Linked DNA regions of Mus musculus: all the other regions are reported to be linked to region 2. Evidence: microRNA targets listed by miRTarBase, many of them from high-throughput screens and not tested one by one. Region 2 holds a microRNA gene; each other region holds the end of a gene's coding sequence.

What was found. Region 2 holds the annotated microRNA mmu-miR-466a-3p (UAUACAUACACGCACACAUAAGA, at 1,826-1,848, shown strand). A microRNA usually pairs through its seed, bases 2 to 8, with sites in the 3' UTR of a target mRNA and lowers its output. Matches are read on the target gene's strand: a 7mer-m8 pairs with bases 2 to 8, a 7mer-A1 pairs with bases 2 to 7 and ends in A, and an 8mer does both.
Region 1: miRTarBase lists Myt1l as a target of mmu-miR-466a-3p. Seed matches in the 3' UTR shown: 7mer-m8 at 1,620-1,626 and 8mer at 2,101-2,108.
Region 3: miRTarBase lists Unc5c as a target of mmu-miR-466a-3p. The part of its 3' UTR that is shown has no 7-base or 8-base seed match.
Region 4: the mRNA of Fbxl17 is a reported target of mmu-miR-466a-3p. Seed matches in the 3' UTR shown: 7mer-m8 at 2,388-2,394.
Region 5: miRTarBase lists AI429214 as a target of mmu-miR-466a-3p. Seed matches in the 3' UTR shown: 7mer-m8 at 2,252-2,258 and 8mer at 2,247-2,254.
Region 6: miRTarBase lists Slc35g1 as a target of mmu-miR-466a-3p. Seed matches in the 3' UTR shown: 7mer-m8 at 671-677 and 7mer-m8 at 645-651.
Region 7: the mRNA of Adamts4 is a reported target of mmu-miR-466a-3p. Seed matches in the 3' UTR shown: 7mer-m8 at 2,332-2,338.

The regions. Positions count from the first base shown.
Region 1 is chr12:29,920,263-29,923,361 of GRCm38, forward strand. Myt1l (myelin transcription factor 1-like) reads left to right here. Exons shown (of 25, transcript NM_001093775.1): 25 at 79-2,947. The coding sequence ends at 219. Among named protein-coding and RNA genes, the nearest start is that of Gm46346, 6.5 kb to the left of the region's middle.
Region 2 is chr2:10,489,564-10,492,662 of GRCm38, forward strand. It overlaps Gm25285 (predicted gene, 25285), which reads left to right and starts at 1,773; the gene lies at 1,773-1,862. All of the region lies in intron 10 of Sfmbt2 (Scm-like with four mbt domains 2), which reads left to right. Mir467a-6 (microRNA 467a-6) reads left to right here and starts at 1,485; the gene lies at 1,485-1,567. Mir669a-8 (microRNA 669a-8) reads left to right here and starts at 2,003; the gene lies at 2,003-2,089.
Region 3 is chr3:141,828,119-141,831,217 of GRCm38, reverse strand. It overlaps Unc5c (unc-5 netrin receptor C), which reads right to left. Exons shown (of 16, transcript NM_009472.4): 16 at 1-2,811. The coding sequence ends at 2,646. Among named protein-coding and RNA genes, the nearest start is that of Gm15689, 150 kb to the right of the region's middle.
Region 4 is chr17:63,057,826-63,060,924 of GRCm38, reverse strand. Fbxl17 (F-box and leucine-rich repeat protein 17) reads left to right here. Exons shown (of 9, transcript NM_015794.1): 9 at 514-3,099. The coding sequence ends at 654. Among named protein-coding and RNA genes, the nearest start is that of Gm34324, 19 kb to the right of the region's middle.
Region 5 is chr8:36,994,098-36,997,196 of GRCm38, reverse strand. AI429214 (expressed sequence AI429214) reads right to left here. Exons shown (of 1, transcript NM_001039220.3): 1 at 1,664-3,099. The coding sequence ends at 2,616. The region is part of intron 2 of G630064G18Rik (RIKEN cDNA G630064G18 gene); the gene reads left to right. Among named protein-coding and RNA genes, the nearest start is that of AI429214, 2.1 kb to the right of the region's middle.
Region 6 is chr19:38,403,141-38,406,140 of GRCm38, reverse strand. Slc35g1 (solute carrier family 35, member G1) reads right to left here. Exons shown (of 3, transcript NM_175507.3): 3 at 534-3,000. The coding sequence ends at 2,763. Among named protein-coding and RNA genes, the nearest start is that of Slc35g1, 8.7 kb to the right of the region's middle.
Region 7 is chr1:171,258,881-171,261,979 of GRCm38, reverse strand. Adamts4 (a disintegrin-like and metallopeptidase (reprolysin type) with thrombospondin type 1 motif, 4) reads right to left here. Exons shown (of 9, transcript NM_172845.3): 9 at 1-3,099. The coding sequence ends at 2,802. Among named protein-coding and RNA genes, the nearest start is that of B4galt3, 9.9 kb to the left of the region's middle.

The DNA.
Region 1 (3,099 bases), not on the chromosome of region 2:
GATACTGTTTTATGCTTTTGTGAATATACTATTCAGAAAATGAAAGTTGTATATGAACTACTATTTAATATCTCGTAGGATCCAATCAATGAACAAAATTTTGATGCTTACGTGACTACTTTGACGGAAATGTATACAAATCAAGATCGTTATCAGAGTCCAGAAAATAAAGCCCTACTGGAAAATATAAAGCAGGCTGTGAGAGGAATTCAGGTCTGAACAGCTGCTCTAGTGGTGACTCATGCTTAAAAAGGATGCCTCTTGTTTCTTGCTGCTGTAACTTACCAGAAAGTGTTATATATTTATTTCTGTCGGAACAGTGTTATGCTACAAGACTTCATAATGGTTTTGTGTGCTCTCGAGAGAGTACCTGCAGACTAGTTTTGGATACATTCACATTTTGTACGTTTTCATATAAGCTGACATAGTGTGATTTGCCATGTAATGTTTATAGCTGCTGCTGTCTGCACATTTGGGGGTCTCTATATTTCTGAAGAGGTAAGCTGATGAAAATAAATAGAGTGTAAATTCTTTTTAATGCTTTAGTGATTAAATGTTTTAGTATTTTGAACTGAAATGGACAAAAAAAGAAAAAGGAAAAAAAAAGCAGGTTTGAACGATCACTTTGTGGCCTCCTGGCCACTTTTAGACATTATCATTTTGCCTCAGGTTGGAGGACTTTGTGGAATTTAAGAAATACATTTTGTGTGCATATTGTTTCATAGCAAGAATTGGTTGCAAAAAAATGCTTTATTTTTGAACAATGCTTGGAAATATTATGTGACTTTTTTGTTTGTTTGTTTTAGGAGGATGGTGTATGGTGGGGGCAATAAATGAGGTTTTTTGCATTCCAAGGAAATGGCATATGGATTAACTATAAGAAATGAAATAAGTAATTTATTGTAAGACAACATCAAGCCATGGAAACTTGGCAGAAGATTCAAAGCAGCTTAAACAGCACTTTTAATTAACTCCTAAACATTACATGGTGGGACTGTGGAGACTCCGTTAAGACAGGAGCTTGTCAGAGGTGGACAACACGAAGATTTCCTTTGCATTTTCAGTAACCTTTGGAGCACACTTCTCTTATTTCTCCTAGAGCCCCGTGCCCCTCTGAAGTGTTACCACAATCTAGCTTACCTAGCAGCCGTTGATTGTTTTTTTTCCATCTGAGCAAACAGGTAATTTAAGCATTTATCTCCCCTTTCACTTTCAAAAAGAATCATCATTGATTATTCTTGTTTCACATCTGAGGATGAAGGCTAACGGCTGTGCTTGCCCTGGTTACTGGATGGGATTCTCTGCTGGGCGGGTGGGGAAGCAGCTCTACCCTTCCCTACCCCTCCCTGCCCCAACTCTGACTTCGAATAAGCCTTGGTCCTATCCAGAATACACTGGACACCAAGGCCAAGGACGTTCACGTTCTGCCCTCGCTGGGTCCAGCTGACTCTAGCGTCTGCACAGCCTTGTGTGACTCGTGGTGACCTAACCTGAGAAAGAGTGCAATCAGATGTTAAAGTAACTAAATAGACTGCGGCACTTTTTTGCTTTAAACTAGATCATCTTAGATTTGTCGATACCTTCGAAATTTGATGGTTTCATCCCAAATGACTGCACTATATGTATGCATACGGCCACTTTTGATTGCTGCGCCCCTTCTGAGTAGTCTTTGACAATGTGTTGTGTTCCCCGATGTCGACTTGATTTCCTTTTAGTAGCATCTCTCTCTTCCATGTCTTGATGTTATGCAGGAAGTACAAAAGTACTTTAAAATTTTGTTATGAAATAAAAAAAAAAAGGATGGGTTTTGTAAAAATAATAAAAAAAATATTTTTAGCAGAACAGGACTTACAGGGTCATTGTCCCCACAATGTGCCAGTCGGCTCTTTGCACTCGCCTTGTCCTATATATCCGTACGGAGGTGTGCAATCCTGTGTCAGTCGCCTTGTGACACTGAAGTGGATGAGTTATAGAGGAGGCCCTCGAGGCTGACCCAATACGGTTACTAAGGGAGACTACAGGGATCTCACGACAAACATTCTGATACAATACTCAACCTCGGTATATATATATATATATATATATATATACATATATATATATGTATAAATATAAGAATATCCCAGCGGCACTTTATACTGTTCACTGTACAAAAGCTTACAGTTTTCCACAAGGACTTTAATAACTAGCTGGGGAAAAGATTATGTAATTACTTGGGGCTCTGCAGGACCTTCTCTGTCCAGCGCCCCCTTTCTGTTGTGCGATTAGTTGTAGCTGCCATGCTCAGAATTGCCTTTTGAGAGCTGAAGCAAGGTGCTTACTGTCACCTGATGCCATACACATGGTCCCAGGCCCACACCCGGGGGGCCTCTGTTCATAGCGGCACATGCATTTCCCCACCGCGTCTTGTCTGCAGCTTCTTGGCCAATGTAGTAATGCTTTTAGTAGAGTAATAGGTAGTATCAGTTTGGATTCTTATTGTTATCACCTATGTACAATGGAGAGGGGTTCTAAGCACAAATCTGCTGCTCATGTAACGGTGGTACATAATATCAAATCAAAAGTTATCTGTGACTATATATAGGGATCACAAAGTGTCACATGTTAGAATGCTGACCTTCCACATGGGGTTATTGTGAGTCATCAGAGCATATTTATTATAACTTATTGTTCATATTCATTTCTAAGTTAATTTAAGTAATCATTTATTAAGACAGAATTTTGTATAAACTATTTATTGTGCTCTCTGTGGAACTGAAGTTTGATTTATTTTTGTACTACACGGCATGGGTTTGTTGACACTTTAATTTTGCTATAAATGTGTGGAATCACAAGTTGCTGTGATACTTCATTTTTAAATTGTGAACTTTGTACAAACTTTGTCATGCTGATGTGAACACATCTTACTCTGAATAAAAAGGTGTTGCCACGTTTGTAGCACGAAGGATCTCTAATGGGTCTGAGTCTTCACTGGAGCGTGCCATCTGGGCTCCTGGAGCCCTCCGCCTCCCTCTCCCACCCTGGGTCTCTTGCCTTTGGAGCAGCACTGTGGGATTAGGCTGGAACTTGGGGCACGTGTGGATACGCACCCCCGGGCAT
Region 2 (3,099 bases):
CTGGGACAGTGAACGGTTTTACTCACCAGGTGTGAAAGATTGTGGATCAGGAGTTCTAATTCATGCTTTACTTCATGATGACTTAGAGATATGCCTGGGATTCATGTGATGCCCCCTATGTATCCCTATCTGTATCTGTTTATATTTTGTGTGGATTTGAGTATATGTATGTTCCTATCTACACAAATATATACATGTACACAGACACAAACAGAAACACACACACAAACATCAGTGCAACTCATCGATCCATTTGAATGACGTGTGACTTAGAGTTTTAAGATTCCTCAGTACTGAATGGGGAGAGGTCTCACTCAGCAGGTGAAGTCCCTTGACAGAGTCAGGTGGATCAGGAGTTCAAATTTGTGCTGAATTTCATGATGAGTTCATGATCAGCATGGGATTCATCTTATGCCCACCAAAAATGTGCATGTGTGTATAGTTGTCTGCATATTCACTTCTCTATATGAATATGCATATACACACATGCACACACATTCATAGGAATGGCCAGAGCTATGTCTCAGGAGGTGAGTACTCTTGCCAGTGTCAGGAGGATGAGGAGTTCAAATTCATGTTTAACTTCATGATGAGTTAGAGTTCAGCATGCGATTCATGTGATGCCCACCAAGAATGTGCATGTGTGTATAGTTGTGTACATAATCACTTCTGTATATGAATATGCATATACTCACACGCAAACATACTCCCATGAATGGCCCGAGCTATTAATCAGTTAGGAGGTGAATACTCTTGCCAGCATCATGAGGATGAGTAGTTCAAATTCATGTTTAACTTTATGATGAGTTAGAGATCAGCCGGGAATTCATGTGATTTTCCCTGTGTTTGTGTTTATGTGTATAGGGAAGTATGCCTGTACATGCGCGTATATGAACATGCATATATATATATATATATATATATATATATATATATATATATACACACCCACACAACTAGGGACACATACATGTGCACACATACACACATGGCAGTCATCCATTTGATTTATACGTGCTTATAATTTCATTGAGTGTATATTCATGGTATAGGGAATAATCTCACTTATCAGATGAAAACCACTTGCCAGAGTTAGGAGTCTCAGGAGTTCAAATTCATGCTTAACTTCATAATGAGTTAGAGATCACCCTGTATTTGTGTGATGGATCCTAGGTATGCACAAGTGCATATAATTGTGTGTGCACGTACATGTGTGTATATGATCATACATATAAATACACACACATACAAATGTATTCACACACACAGGCGTGCACACTCACACACATAAGAATGACACTCATTGATCCATTTGAATGATATATGTCTTAGAATTTTGCTGATTATAAAGTAGAGGGACAGTGAAGGTCTCACTCACCAGGTGTAAATAATTGGCAGTGTCAGGAGGATCAGGAGTTCAATTTCATGCTTAACTTCATGAGCAGTTAGAGATCATCCTGGAATAATGTGATGGCCCCTATGTATGTGCCCGTGTGCGTAAGTGCCTGCATGTATATGCGTGTATATTTTATGCATATACATACACACACCTACACACACATGCACACAGACATGCGGAAATGGCCTTCACGGATCCATTTGAATGATATGTGACCTACTGCTTTGGAGGTTATGTATGACTGGGCCAGGGTGAGGTCTCACAAACCACGGGAAAACCCTTGGTAGAGTCGGGAAGATCAGGAGTGCAAGTTCATAGTAAAGGCATGATGAGTTAGAGGTCATCCTGGCATTCATGTGATTGCCCCTACGTATGTGTATATGTGTTGATGTGTGTGTGCATGTACATATGTGAATATGATATACATATACATACACGCACACATAAGACACATATGAGCACACAGACACAGGGGAATGGCACTCGTCAATCCATTTGAATGATAAGTGACTTAGAGTGAAAATGCTTGCTAGAGTTAAGAGTATCAGGAGTTCAAATTTACACTTATCCTCATGAGAGATCAGCCTGTGATTCCTCCATGTATGTGCATGTGTGTATAGTTGTGTGTGCATGTTCATGTCTATATTTGAATATACATAACATACACACACACGTATAAACGCAAGCACACATACACAGACACAGGAATGGCATTCGCCAATCCCTTTGAATGATAAGTGATGTAGAGTTTTAGAGATTATGCAATAGGGGACATTGAATGGACTCACTCACCAGGTGTAAAAGATTGACAAAGTCAGGAGGATAAGGATTGCAAATTCATGCTTAACTTCATTTGGAGATCATCTTGGTATTAATGTCATGCAACCCATGTATGTGCATGTGTGCTTACTTGTATGTGCATTGTATGTGTTGACATGATATACATAACATAAACACACGTGTTTATGCAAGCACACACACACAGGAAAAAATTGCATTCATTTATACGTTTGAATGACATGTGACTCAAAGTTTTCAAGATTATGAAGTAGTGGGACAGTGAATGGTTTTACTCATCAGGTGTGAAAGATTGTGGATCAGGAGTTCTAATTCATGCTTTACTTCATGATGACTTAGAGATATGCCTGGGATTCATGTGATGTCCCCTATGTATCCCTATCTGTATCTGTTTCTATTGTGTGTGGATTTGAGTATATGGATGTACCTATCTACACAAATATGTACATGTACACAGACACAAACAGAAACACACACAAAAACATCAGTGCAACTCATCGATCCATTTGAATGACATGTGACTTAGAGTTTTAAGATTTTTCAGTACTGAATGGGGAGAGGTCTCACTCAGTAGGTGAAATCCCTTGACAGAGTCAGGTGGATCAGGAGTTCAAGTTCGTGCTGAATTTCATGATGAGTTCATGATCAGCATGGGATTCATATTATGCCCACCAAAATGTACATGTGTGTATAGTTGTGTGCATATTCACTTCTCTATATGAATATGCATATACACACATGCACACACATTCATAGGAATGGCCAGAGCTATGTCTCAGTTAGGAGGTGAGCACTCTTGCCAGTGTCAGGAGGATGAGGAGTTCAAATTCATGTTTAACTTCATGATGAGTTAGAGTTCAGCATGCGATTCATGTGATGCCCACCAAGAATGTGCAGGTGTG
Region 3 (3,099 bases), not on the chromosome of region 2:
GCAATCTAACAACTATCATTTTCTTCCCAAGGAGAAAGAGCAGACTGCTTAGTGAAAATTATTTGATGTATGGTATGTTCTAGTTTGGAAACTGTCATTCACATGATAGAAAGTGGTTTTATGACATATGATTCCTTCATAAGAGATCAGTCATTTTTCCTTTTCCTGTTGTGAGAGTCTGAATACAAAAGCAAGTATCTCTAGATGCTTGAACACGAGGACTCTCAAAATATTCAATAATGTTGCTTTGGTTATATTCAGTATTTCTGTGTTGGTGACTTAACAGTTTTTAGGATAAATTAACCAGAATAGCAACATATTTGTTCCTCTTGACTTAGCACAAAGCATTGAAGTTACACAGAACATCCAGTCCAGACCTCTCAGTTTGGATTTCTTTGATGGTTCCAAAATCCAAGAAGTGTAGAGGAACCTTCACACTTGTTTCAAGAGGCAGCAAAGTCTTTCTTCCTCTTACTTTTTAAGAACATCAATCAAACTCTTAAAAGTTCGAACAAACTCATGCTTACAGATATCAGCCAACAAACTTCGTTAGGAGTATAGAATTTCCCTTCCACAGTCAGTGGGACCAGGATTTTTATATATGAATATGGTTAGAGAAAGAGACTGTAGAATACATCTCTGAAAGAGAAGACAAACAGCATGAAGGAAGAGGCTCCACAACTGTACCCACAGTTCTTTAATGACTAGGATAGAAGAGTTAGCGTGTATCAGGAAGTAACAGAATCAGAGGGTATTAGGCAAAATGATTCCCAATGGAATCCATTCAGCAACCTGAATACTTCTAGCCCCAAAGTACACCACAGCCATATTTTGAAGTTTCTGACTTAAGGGCATAGGTGCTTTCTATTTAACTATGTCAGTGGGGCTGCTAAGTTTTCATTCACTATCTGCTGAATGGAGTTCCTATATCAAAAAATAAAAACAAACTAACAAACAAACAAAACCCAGGATGGTCCCAAGGAGTATGCACAACTAACGTTTTATAGGATGGTCCTATAGCACTAATCTACATAAATACAACTGAATATTACTAAAGCAAAGAGTAATAAAGAAAGAAAAATGTTACCAATTCATTCAGCTGCATGGGCTTTTTGTAGAAATGGTCTTGAGATCTGGAGATCAATAAATGAGTAAAGTAGAATTTACAGTTAGTTGGAAGGCTGGACATTAGGGCCCCAGCAGAGGTCAAGACAATGGTAAGAAAAGGATGCCATCTCTAAGCGAACAACATCATGCAATAATGACACAAAGATAAAGACAAACAAATGTGTGTTGAAGTAATCCCTGTTCAAATCAATCCTGCCTGCAAGATAGAAAAGGATGATGACATTTGAATGGGAGATCAGCATTCTGGAACCTTGAGATGATCTGGTCTCACCACAAAGTTTACAAAGAAGGGCAATGAGCGCCAGTGAGTTTCAATGTTTTCCCCAAAGTCACACAGCCATACAGGGACCAACTCCACAAGGATAACTGGTTTCCTGATTCCTAGTTCAGACACTGTTCCCACAACCATACTGCCTCCCAGATAGCCACAAGAGTAAATGAACTTTACATAGAGAACTCTCCTCATGATAAGAGCAAGAACAGAAAGACTCTGACCGAGCAAGCTGAAAGAGCAGACATAGCCATTGAGCATTTCTGTCTTTTCCACCACAGAATGGTAGACCAAAGGTCAAGGAAGCAAAAGCTATTGAACTAAACTGGTGACCATGCCCACCTCTTTAGGCAAGAAAGGGAGGCAGGTCTAGTCAACACCAAACACTAACAGTATTGCTAACTAAAACAAAAGGAAATTCTTTTTACTAGAATATTTGTAATAATCATCAATAATAATGATAATATTTTTTAAAAAACACTTGAAATTGCTTATTACAAACACACATGTGGTACAGAAATGTTTGTGTGGAGGAACATGAATAGCTACCTCCCCTGTAATGCTAGAGCTCTGTTCCCAAAGGATACCAACGGGGTTACCCCAGGATATAAGGAATTTTCTCAATTTCTCCTTTACATTTAGATTCTCCACTTCCCTGATACCAATGCCAATACTGGTCCAACAAGTTTCAGAAACAGAACACTGATGGGAAGATTATCTGAGACACTTGATGTACATGATTTTTAGCAAAAGTCTGTGATTTCTCTGTAAATTACTAATCTGAAATAGACACAATAAACTGTCCACAGCTTCAACTTCAAATGATCTGAACAAAAATAGAACGAGCCATGGACAGTGTCTGCATCCCTGTCCAATTTGATGTAAACAACATTTGTAGAAACTGGGTTTGTTAAGAAAGTTTATCCATACATCTGGATAGCAATAAAAAGCGTTTCCTAGGAAACTGTAAGATCCTGTACCATACAGCATACAGCCCAACGAAGAGAAAATTAGATTGATTCTTAAATTCAAGGTACAAATTTACACAATTTTTCTTAACTCCCGCGGTGGTGCTGTCCGAATGAAGTGGGCGTGTACCTTGGTGGTTATATCTGTCCCCCAAGTTTCCTGTTGCCATCTTGCCTGTAGAGCGCCTTGGTCCTATCTGGATTTCCTCCTCAGATGTGGTTCCCCTGAACACAGACTCCCTGTGTAATTGTGTCCTTCAGCTTTAGTTCCAGTGTGGTCAATACTGTCCTTCTGCTGCCAAGGACACCACTGTCTCATGTCTTCCCATTTCTTCCAGGACGGCTGCCAGCATGCTCAGGTTTCCATCTGGGAAGTTCTGTGCTTCCCAAAGATCCAGGATTACGCCAGTTGGGCTCGATTTGGTGGCAAAGTAATTCAAGTACCTGCAATCAAGAATGGGAAAATATGCTTAGAGGTGTGATTTACAGGTCTATTTACAGTATTATCTTCTCTGCGTTGGCACTAAACCTGTCTGTCTTGAAGCATTTCAGTCCTACCGTGGATCCTAGTGAACTCCACTTAATGATTGCTCGGTTCCTAATTAGATCAGCTCCAGACAGGACATGTGCTGTTTAACTTTGTTAACCTCAACTCTGAATAGGATAATTTAAGAGACAACGTGTCTGTGGGTTTTGTCCTAAACAGGAAATCAAGAGGCTTATGTTTTCTGT
Region 4 (3,099 bases), not on the chromosome of region 2:
GCCTGAGGTTTGCAATGTCTTAACATTTAAAGGGAAGAAAAATAAACATTTTCCTTTGCACTTCTATCTAGAATCCTGTGTATCTCCACCCCCACCCCCACCCCAATGTACAGTGTCCAGCCTAAAAAGGCTTTTCCATGGGTGAAGAAGTCAGAGATACAGGAGATGCTCCTACTGCGTTCTTCCTCCCATTTTCTGTGTTCTTAATGGGCATTACTGCGATCTTGGTAAATCCCAGTCATTTAGTCATTTATGTTTAGCAGGTACATTTGATTTCATGACATCATGTTTAATTAAAAATCCATACGGGCAGTGCAATTCTAGAGTATCAGAGAAGTCAGACCAGAGGAAAAATGCACGCGCTCAGCAAATCCTTGGTCATGTTGCTAAGTGGAAAGGAAAGGGAGAGCTGTTGTTCCCTGGCACGTCGCATGCCCCACAGCACCCCTGTGAGCACAGGCTGCATGGTGTTGGTGGCCCCTGTGTCTGATGATGACTCTTCTCTGCTCACAGGTCAATGAATTGACAGTGGAGCAGCTGGTGCAGCAGTACCCGCACATCACCTTCAGCACCGTTCTGCAGGACTGCAAGAGGACCTTGGAGAGAGCCTACCAGATGGGCTGGACCCCCAATATGTCCGCTGCCACCTCCTAACTCTCTTCCTATGCCCAGGTCTACTCAGGCCGGTTCAGCAGAATGGAGAAATGGGGGGCTCCAATAGGGGGTCTTTCGGAAAGGTTTTAACCGTCACCTGTCAGTGTGTGTACCCGAGTGTTCCGTTTGTGTCTTGTTTGCATTCTGCATAGCATAAGCGCACTGTTACTTACCCCAAGGTGAGCTGGCTTGTTTTCCCTAAAACAGAAGATTATGAAAACCAGGACCTTTTTGTTTTTTGTTTTGTTTTCCAATTCAAACGTCTATTTCTCTAAAAAGACTTTGTGGAATCTCAAGTCAGAAAACTGGTTGTATAGTTTTGAGCTTTTAAGTTCTGACACATCTCGGAAATGCTCGCAGAAAGGCTTTGTTCGGTGATAGGTAGGCTACTTGTACGCTTCTGAGAAGACCAAAACAGAAGTGATGTTGCTCTAACTAGAAGCCTGGAGACTAGAACCCCTCAAAATCCTGGAGTACACAGCTAAAGTTCCACTCTCTTGTACTGTCATACACACATGCTAGGTCAGGTTCTCGCTTGGTAAATTCTTTCCTGCCAGAGGAACCTTCCTGGGTCATGAAGAGAGCATGCCTTCCACTGTGGCTATGCCTAACGTACTGTGCCCAGTGGTGGACAACTTGCTGTCTTATAGGTAACTTAGGAAGTAGACTGAATAAAGCCTTTTGTAAATTTGTATATGGAGGCAACAGTCTGATGTCCCCTGGCCAGCTCACAAAAGTTAATTATTCATTATTCTGTAAATGCATTCTGTTAAGTAATAAATATTTTAGTTGGTTTTGCATTAACACTGTGTTCGCTTTTACTGTGTGGACAGTTACTGGTCAAGATGCATTTTAGTGACATTTGGGGCTAATCTTGGCATTATTCACATTGAAGCCATGAATGTAATTAATGGTGTGCAGTTATTTTAAAAATTTTACAGATCATTTCATTATTTTGGTAATTATGAAAATATATTCTGAGGTGGGGTAGTTATTGATAGAAGATTAATGAATGAGATGTATGTAGACAATCTTCCTATTGTATTTTTTTCCTTTGCTTTGGGATTGAGAACAGGTTTTTTGAATATATGCATGTTATAATTTTAAATAGTTCTTACACTACTGCAAAGATCTACTGTTAGCTAACGTATGAGCTAAGGAGAGAATTTAGAAAATCTGTTCATTAAGATTCTGTTTACACTTGCCAGAAATACATATTTTAGTTTAATTAAGTATTACCAGCTTTTACTTCTGTCAGTACCTATCAGGAAAGGAGTGTAAGTTTTGATGTCACACATTTCTACAGTCAGCCGTTGCAGGGACTCAGGCTCAGATGACCTCTCCTATGTCTGGATTTATAAGCAGGCAGCAGGGAGCCTTTTTAAGCTAAAGAGTGATTATCTTTCGTAGTAGGAAAAGCAAAACCTTGACTTTTGAACTTGCTATTTATTCTCCCTGTATGTGGTCTTTGGTCTTTAACAATTATAATGAGGTTTGAGTTTGTTTCCTATAAATCCCAGCCCTGCGGAAGCAATGCTAGCTGTAGGAGGCAGAAGCTGCCTTCCATTTGCACACCATGCACGTGTGTGTAACAACTCCTTCTCTGTAGAAAAGGTTTGTTTCCCTCCAGTTTGTCAACATGCTTCTGATGTGGCAGTTTATTGTTTTAATCCCAATCAGTTAAAAAACAAAAAGTACCTTTTTCATAACCAAATAGGAGATTTTATGTGACATATGTATTATTACATCATTACCATAGGAACCAAAGTCTAGTCCCATGGATGTTATTTCCTCTTCCATTTTAATTGAGTCATGAACATGTACCAAAACCAGCTGGCAATATGACAGTCATTGCGACTGAAGGGTCAGTTGGAGTCAGGCCTACTATGACTATCGGTAAATAGGAGGTTTTTCCTCTTGGGCACTATGCTTAGAAGATTAACTCAGCTCTCCTGCGGGATGTTTAATACACGCATTGCCGCTACATGGGACTCTTCAGTCACCAAAACGCAGCCATCTGCAGGAACATATTCCCAAACTAAAACCATATCTAAGATCCTTCAGCGCCCAGTCCTGTGATCTCCCTTGGCTAATAACGAACTGTAAGGATGCCAGCAGCTCATGAAGAAAGGGAGACTTCCAAAAGAGCCTGCGTTGTTTGATTCAGCTGTTTTATTCACAACAGGATGGAAGAGACAGTCATGCATTTCTGAAAGTTTTTCCACAGTTTGGCATCACTTGAAAGATCTGGAGATGAGAAGCATTGATGGAAAGTGGCCCGAGGACACAGGGCAGGCTGATGCTCGCTCACTAACTCTTCTGTAGCCTGAGATCTCCTCAGCCTGTGCCTTGTGCATGCATGCGCGCCCACATGCCCAAATGCACCATTCAGCCAGAAAAGATGACTACAGAACGCAGTCTGTTCAACTTTGTGATTAATATAAT
Region 5 (3,099 bases), not on the chromosome of region 2:
AGTTGGCCATCAGTGGAAAGAGAGGCCCATTGGTCTTGCAAACTTTATATGCCTCAGTACAGGGGAATGCCAGTGCCAAGAAGTGGGATTGGGGGTGAGGGAAGTGGGGGGTTTGGGGGACTTTTGGGGTAGCATTGGAAATGTAAATGAAGAAAATACCTAATTAAAAAAATAATGAAAAAAAAGAGCCATCGTTTGCAAATACAATTAACTTTCACTCAAATAATCTGATGTGTGGAAAACAGTCTCTGGGTAATGCCATCAATGCTAGCATTTTTATAGAAAAATAAATCATAAATATGAGCTATCAAGGAACATGTGATTTCCCCCCATTAATGGCAAACTGCTCTTCAAAAAATGATAGTTTGTTTGACCGAAAACTAGGACATAGAGAAGATTCATAAAATCATTATGACCAAAATGGATTGTTTATAACAATCCCGCATTGTTATATACAATATAGATACATATGTGTACGTTATATACAATACACACACGCACACACACACTGCTATATTGAAGCCCTCAGCTTCATCTTGTTTTCTTGCCAGCAATTAAACTCTTTATGTAGTATATATTCATATTCTTTATTTCGCTGTTTTATTCTTGCATGATTATCACACACACACACAAACATACTTTATTAATGGTCAGCATTTCTCAGAAGCTGCAATCAGTCTGCTTCTTTTCTCTCTCCTAGCTTCTAGAAGTTTGTCCCATCTCCGGCTTCAATGTCTAACTACATGCCAATGATTTCCCCACTAGTCTAGCCTCTAAACCTTTCCTGTTGACTCTACATATAAATAACCTGCTTCTTTATACTCTCAATGTATATGTCTCAAATACACCACACACTACTTAGATATAAAGAATTATATTCAATCACACCTTCAAATTCGCCATGTTGTAGTCTTCCTAGCTGTATTGTGTTTTATTATACAGAAATATAATAAGAACATCCATCAAAACCAGTTAGGGTAAGGAAAGGATTTGCTAAGCTTACAGAGTACCACCCATCATTTAGGGGTGACATGGTAGTAACTCCCAGCAACAACTTGAAAGCGGGAACTGAAGCAAAGACCATGGAGGAGTATTGCTTACTGACTTGTTTTTCCAATGGATTTCTTAGCTTGCTTCCTAACAACCCAGTACCTTGCCCCAGGGTGGCACCAGCCACAGTAGCCCAGGCCTTGATATAATCAAGAAGTATCCCACAGATATGGACATAGGCTAGTATGATAGAGGCAAGTGCTCAAGTGAGACTCCCTCTTCCTAAGTGGCTCTAGTTTGTGTCAGCTTAGATAGAAACCAGCACAATGACCCCTTGTCAGATTCTTGATTCTGACATAAACATTCCTGATAGGGTCTTTGTTTCCCTCTAAACCTTTAGAAGCCAGCTCTCCATCATCTGCCCCTCCCCAACATTCCTATGCTACAGGCTCTCCTACCTGGTCATTAAGCTCTGAGACTGCAAAGACCTTGCCTAGCACAAAGTTCTCAAGTCTTCCCACAAAAGCCACCCCCACACACCCAAGCCAAAACATGGTCACATCTGTCACAGCAATGCCCTACTCTCTGGTATCGATTTCTGGTACCAATTGGTTGGGTTTCTGTTACTGGGGTGGGGTGGAGTGTGTATGTGTGTTGAATAAGCAAAACTAGCTTAGAGAAGAAACAGTTTTATTTAGTTAATAGGTTATTGTAGGTCATAGAGGGATGCAGAGACAGGAAGTGAAGGCAGAAACTTTTGGGCAAGGACTAAACAGAACGCATGGGGAAATGTGACTTACTGGCTTGCTTTCCATATCTTGCTGAGCTTGCCATGTTACACAGCCTGAGACTACCTGACTAAGGATGGCAGTGGCACAAACCCTCCCGCCTCAATCATTAAGGAAGTAAATGCTCCCTCAGAAATGCCTGGAGACCGGTGGAGAAAGGCAATTTCTCAGTTGAGGTTTCCTCTCCACAAGTGACTCTAGTTTTTGTCAAGTTGACAGAAACTAAATAGAATTCTGTCTTAAGGAAATTACTATTCAGTCGAGTACACAGGTACACAAGTCAAAATCCTAGTGCCTTTTCAAAGTTAGTCTCCACAGCCTCTTTATCACCAAAACCAGCCCTCATCGCTGCTTCCTAACTATCTTATATCTGTTTACTTCTTTCTCTCTGTACTGTCCACCACCACTCCAAACTACCATCATTCATATGTGTGTGTGTGTATAGAGAGAATACCACACACACACACATATACATACATATATATATATATATATATATATATATATATATATATATATATATTCCCCTAGATTACAAAAGTTTTGCAATTTCTCCAATTGTCTTCCATAATGTGAAAAATCTATTGGATTTAATGATTTAGACTTCAGTGAAGGAAGCAGAAGTAAATCTTACATTAGTTTCTAAATTTCCTCTATATGAGATGGTAATTACTCAAATCCACACCAGGTACATGTATGCACAACACATGTTATCACTAATCACCAATAGTCACCATCCCCTGGTTGGGCATAGTACATATCATCATTAGTAGTCAGCACCTCCTATCTGGTTGGACGTGTGAGTTGAGAATCATTAAAAAGACTTGTACAGTCTTCCTACACCTGCTTTGAATATGCCCGCCCAAAGCCGGAGCTTCCCTTCAGCATTTTCTCAGTCAGTCGCTTCCAGATGATCCTAGGATCATCTGAAAGCCTGGGGAAGCCCTGATGTGCTTCTCCAACACGGGTGAGAAAGTCTGTGGTATGAAGGTGTTCATCTATTTTCTCTTGGAGTAGTAGTGACTGCAGTAAAGTTTTCCTTCGTCTCAGGAAGTCAGACTGAGCCAGCTCTGCTCTTTTGCTATTACAGCTGGGACACTGCGAAGAAATGTGTTGCGTAATCGCCCCTATGTACGCCAGAGTCGCTCTCGTGTTTTCCAAATAGATTCTGTTCCACAGTTCATCAGGGATCGTACAATTGAAAGCATCTACCTCTGAGGTCTCTGCAATCCATCTGAGCTGCAGCCTTTTGGGTCTGTTGCTTTTCTTAGCTCTTAAATCCTGTCTCTGGTGAATCAAGTTTACTTTTTTAGTACAAAAA
Region 6 (3,000 bases), not on the chromosome of region 2:
AAATGCTGATCCTAGGACATCTGGGATGTGGGAAACTACAGTGAAGAGGAAGTGGGGGAGGGGGGCATATGGGCATGACCGTGTGGACCACTAGCCACCTCTGTGGCTTCCTGAGAACTGAAGTGACAGGGCTTCAGGAAGACTCCTGACCTTGGCAGCTGGATCAAGGTCAACGTATTAAGTAGGTAGCTTAGTTAGACTACAGCTGTAAAAAACTCAGGTGTAGTCACTCTGTGGGTAGCAGCGGACAGACATTGTGAGGGTAGAAAGAATTCCTAGGGCACTACAGAACCTAGCTGTAGAAGACAACACAACTTCAAGCTGCTCTGAGCTCTGTGGGTTTAGAAAAGTGAAGGTCTCTTAACAGATTACTATTTATTTTGGAGATGTTGTATTTGTTGTGTATGAGGAACAGATAAAGTTTGAAAATTTAAGATCACAGCCTACAAAACGGCTAGAGGCGAGTCTTCTATAGAAAATGAGTTTTGAAGCGCCCGGTCGAGAAGAGAAACGAGTCGTGAGACACTTTCTATAGTTGTAAAACCCAACATCTTTCTTTTATGATTTTATTACTTACAAAATAAAAACACATTAGGAAAAAAATATTTCCCTTTGCAAGATATAGAAACTACAATCTTTGGAAAATACATAAACCCCCGTAATTGTTACAATACATAGCCTTGTATACCACTTGAACATTGTTTAAAAATCATACCCTGTAAAGGTTGGTATAAGAAACATTGTCTCCAATGTCAGCCACATATCCTGACATCCATGTACTTAAGACACAGTTGAAATATAATGTATTTCCAAAGGGGTTATCTTCCACTATCCCAGACACTCTTCTATTGTGTAAGTTTGGTGGTACTCCAGGAGTGGAACTCAGTAAGAGGAGGCTGCTATGGAAACCAGCTATTGCAGCCCTCCCTCCCGTCATCCCTCAGGATGCCCTCTAAGACCCCTCCAGAGTACTAAGAGTCTGCTGACTCTGTGTTTTCTAGGATGTTGGTAGAACGGCACCATTGGCAGATCTATGCGGGGTCAAATGCAACTGAGGTGATTCAGCTAAGTACATATGTAGGATGTCAGGTGGCTAAGGTGATTTAAAACCACCAAACTCAAAGTTCCTCTTAGGAACTACTGGAGAAGATCCTTTCATAGCTAAATGTAAGATCCAGGAGACCAGTCCCTTCCTCCAGAAGAGCTGTGAGGAGTGTGGGAGAGAGCAATAGCCCCTCAAGTCTGCAGCTAATGATAACAGTAGACAGTGTCTGACAAAGTAAGAGGTGGCAGCCACAATGGCCTCACCATAAAGGCATCCAAAGCGCCCCAAAGACGCATGGTCATTTACTCCCAATCTACCAAGTTTTCCTCTTTCACAGAGGAGTACTGGCCTGCTGGTGCTCCACAGATAGAATCTACTGTCTAAGTTCACACTAGGATTGTGTGTCAAAGACTGGCTTGTACCTGTGTTCTTTCCGTATATGCAAAAGACTGGGAAAACCAATCAACTATGGAGTAACAAGTCTTTACATTTTTCGTATGCCACAAGCATTATAACATACCATTCCAAGATGGAAAAAGACTGTACGTTTATTAACAGACATGTACTGTAAAGGTATAAATATTTGGTTTAATGCGAAGGGAGCCTGCGGGATGAACCTTCTAGAACTGTGGGTTTTGAAAATGAAAACGGTAGAATCTGGGCAATCTGATAATGGCCCAGCCTAGTACAATCCTGAGAAAAAAATTGTATTTGGCATCACACTATGAATTCAAAGAGAATTTGTAGAAAAACCACCGCATCTGAAGTGAAATCACCTCAGGATGGGAATGTACACACTGATCACGCCAAGATTTTGCTCTCATGATTTCAAGGTTGGAAATCTCGGAATGTTAAAAAAAAAGTGCAATTTCAATAAAACAGGAGACAACTGAAATTCAAAATGATAGCCAGAGTTGTTAATATTCTGAAAGAGAGAACTGCTAACCACATGTGGCAAGCTGAAGGCTCTGTTCAGAGTACATATAAAAAGTCCCAGCATCAAAACGAAAAGGCACACATGAGTTAAAAGTGTAGTAATCATCTCTAAGATCCTTGAGAATAAGGCTGGTTCGCTTATACTCCTATGGGTAGGTAGGCACCTAGACCAAGTTGCAGCTTTGGCATCCTAAGTGGGATGATATTGCAATCAACAGATTAGCACAGTACTAACTAGAGCAGCATTGTCAACGTTGAGCTTCTTATGTGCACTGCTAAAATAGAGGATCTCCCATCCACATCCCGGGTCAGAAATAAATTTTAAAAATTGTACTCATAAAAATTTCTGAAATTCCTCAAATGAGCTCCCTTCTCATCAATGGTAACCCAACCAAGGAGCCAAAGCAAAGATAAAAGCTATCCAGACTGTGAGGCTAGCCTAGCTAGCTACTCTTTTTTGTTTTTGTTTTTCGAGACAGGGCTTCTCTGTGTAGCCTTGGCTGTCCTGGAACTCACTTTGTAGACCAGGCTGGCCTCAAACTCAGAAATCCGCCTGCCTCTGCCTCCCGAGTGCTGGGATTAAAGGCGTGCGCCAACACGCCCGGCTAGCTAGCTACTCTTAACTAAAAACGCACTATGTTTAAAAATGGCACTTTATGAAAGGTATTAAAGAAAGCCAATGAGTGATGAAGATTCTCCAGGTATGTGTGTGGGTGTGCAAGATGTCTGAGCTAGGTGACAGCACACTTGAAAATAAAAACCAGGTTTCAGCAGTGACACTTCATTTGGAACCCTGCAGCCATCGACGAATGGTTGCTCCAGTGGTGCTGACCACCACACAGAGGGCCCCACCCACCGTCCACCAAGTTGGTACATTATCAAAGAAAGCAATCTGAAAGATGAAAGCAAAGACTATATCCATGGTCTTCATTATCGCTACGAGTCCTGCTTTTTCTATTTGAACTGCTTTAGTGATAAATATCTGACCCCCCAAACCTAGGAGTCCAATGAGTATGAGA
Region 7 (3,099 bases), not on the chromosome of region 2:
TTTTTAAAGATTTTATTTATTTATATGAGTACATAGTCACTGTGTTCAGACACACCAGAAGAGGGCGTCAGATCTCATTACAGATGGTTGTGAGCCACCATGTGGTTGCTGGGAATTGAACTCAGGACCTCTGGAAAAGTGGTCAGTGCTCTTAACCTCTGAGCCATCTCTCCAGCCCCCTCCTCTTTTGAGACAAAGTTCCATGTAACCAAACTGGCCTTTATGCTATGATGTTGCCACGGAGGATAGCCTTGAAATTCCGACCCATCTGTTTCTACCTCCCAAGGAGAAAATTTCTTCGTGCCAGTAAGAACCCTACCTGGTGAACAAAGTGGTTTTTCTTTAAAATAACATATGACAGTGACTTACAAAGTAAATTGCCAAGAACCTCAAAGAAATGTGAGAAGCGTTACCATAATGACCCACTTCCCAAAGCCCAAATCACGTTCCTCCTTCCTGAGCCCTGGTGCTCAGGTACAAGGCTCAAGCTTCACAAAGTCCATTTTGCCTTTATCTTATAGCTCCTCAGACTGACCCTTGACTCTCTTTGTGGACATGTGCTGCACAACCTCCCCCCTCCCCCAGGATGCAGTGTGAGCTCTTTAAGGACACGGCCGTATATCATTTGTGTTTTACCTTCACTTCAACAAAGCTCTGCTTGTACCGTGAGTTCATAGTATTAAGTTCCATAAACATACTGTTGGTCCAATCTTACCACTGAGATGAAGCAACTGAAGATGCCACTGTCCTGTTGCTGCCTCCCCCTGCCTGGTTGGTAGAAGCACCACAAGGCCCACATCAGAGAGCAAGCATGGGAGTGAGAGCAATGCACGCTAAAGAGAGGAGTGTAGCCAGCCCTTCCCTCAAGCCTGCAGAGAGAGCAGCCACTGTGCTTGCTGGTGTAAGGCACAGAGCACTCTACAACGCTCTGCCCTGCCTCGTTTAGAACTTGACCAGCCAAGCCTGGTCCCAATGAATACAGCACACAAACAGCCTTGCCCTCTGTGCCTGCCTCTCCCCCTCTCACCCCTACTCTCCTTTGGCAGAGCAAGATGCCTTTAGTGTCTCCACAGTCCACCCTCACCTCAGGGTCTTCCTAACCTACAGCTCCTTCCTACCTCAGCATTCAGTCCCTTCCACAATCCTAGAAGCTCTGCATTTGCCACTTAGCATGTGAAATTCTCCACTGACACTTTCGCCAGTCCCTGACGCACATAAGACTGACTAGGTTACCCCTCAAGGAAGGGAGATCCATTTCAGCCAGTGCTGGTCCTCGCATTCCGCCACCACTGGACAGATTGACAGATGGCTCCACTCTTGTAGGATTTTTTTTTTTTTTTTTGGCTTTGCTTTGCTTTGTTGATTATTAGGCAATACCAGACCACATCCTGTTCCTCTCATTGAATTCCATTCCTAGATGTTGGTTGGGCTTACTTTGATTGATTCTGGAGTCACTGTCCCAGTCTGTCACCACAAAGGTCACCTCTCCTGTTACAACGGCCTTTACTGTTTGAAAATCCTTGAGCACAGAGCAATGCTGTCAGAGCAGTTATTACTGGCCCCATTCCACAGACTTGTACTCCAAGGTCACTTATCAGCACTTGCCCAACATCACCCAGGTAATAAGATGCTGAACCCTAACTCAAGTTCAGATCCACCAGCTCCTGGAATGCCAGGATGCTATTACATCATCCCTTCTCTGCCCCTTCCGCCATTCTTACAACTAAGCTCCTGTTTGTGTCCAGGGAGTTGTTGGGTTCTGTTCTTGTACCTTCATGTTCTTGTTGACTATCTTTGCCAAGTGTTTATTATGTCTGCTGCAGGTGCTTACGTGCCTACAGAAGTAATAGACAAGATGGCCATCTGAGAGTCTGAACTCTCTCCAAATCCTAAACAGGGTCCTGCCAACCGAAGGTCCTGAGCCTGGGACTAAAGATAGGCACAAGTGACATGAATCCTTGTGGACTTCGAGTGCCTGGCAGAGCCTCTGTGGAGGGTGACTGGGAGAACAAGGACCACAGGAGCAGCAGCTGCCATTCCTTGAGCACCTACTGAGTGAGAGGCTCTATGCTAGTTCTTTATTAACATCATTTAATCCTTACAACCAATTTCTAAGGGATTATTATTGGCACATGAGAAAACTAATGCTCAAAGATGCGGGGCCAGAATATAACCCACATTTGTCTGACTCCAAAAAGAGCATATAAATAGCAAACTTCAATTTAAAAACACAATCATCCCTTACTCCCTGAAGGCAGTCCTACCTTTGACTTTCCTTTTCCCAGAAAAAAAAAAAAATTAGGGAGAGGAAAGCAGGGCAGGTTGTACCTCATACATAAACACACACACACACACACACACACACACACACACCACTCATATTTGTCACCAACACCCTGGATTTCATAGCTAGGTTAGGGCTATAATGGGTGAGTTTCCCCAAGACCCTAGTCCCCTTTCCTGGTGCTAAATAAAAATGAATAAATACCAAATAAATACAACTAGGGCCCAGGACCCACCCTGTCTTCCCCCCATTCCTCCTGTGACCTGCAGGGTAGAGGGGGCAGTTTAGTAGATAGGGTACTGTCACCTAGCCCCTTTCCATTCACCAAGACATCACTGCCTCCCAGGGCAGGAAGCCAGGGCAGGGCCAGCCTGCGGTTTGGGGCAGTGAGGCAGGCAGATCTCACCCTCTACACCTCCCTACTGTGTTTTAGCAGGAGGCAGTTGCAGAAGCCTGCTCATTCTCCCAGATGAGTCCGAGGCCCCGGCGCCCAAAAAGGGCAGCCGGGACAGTGAGGTTATTTCCGGCCTGCCCAGGGACGCTTCCGAAGGATCTTCAGTATCTCTGCCCTGCGTTGCAGCCAGTCTTGGGGAGGAGGGCGTGGTGTTGAAGGGACTGGCCGCGGGACAAAGAAACTGTACCGCAGACGTGCATTCTGTGGGTTGCCAGCCACCAGGACTTGCAGCGTCAAGGGCTGGGCCAGCGGCCCATGTCCAGACAGTGTCTCTGAGGCTGCTGTGGCTCCGCTGTAGCGCAAGCTGACTGCCCCAGGAAGAACCACATCTGTTGGGGAGGGCATCAGCGTGTATTCACCA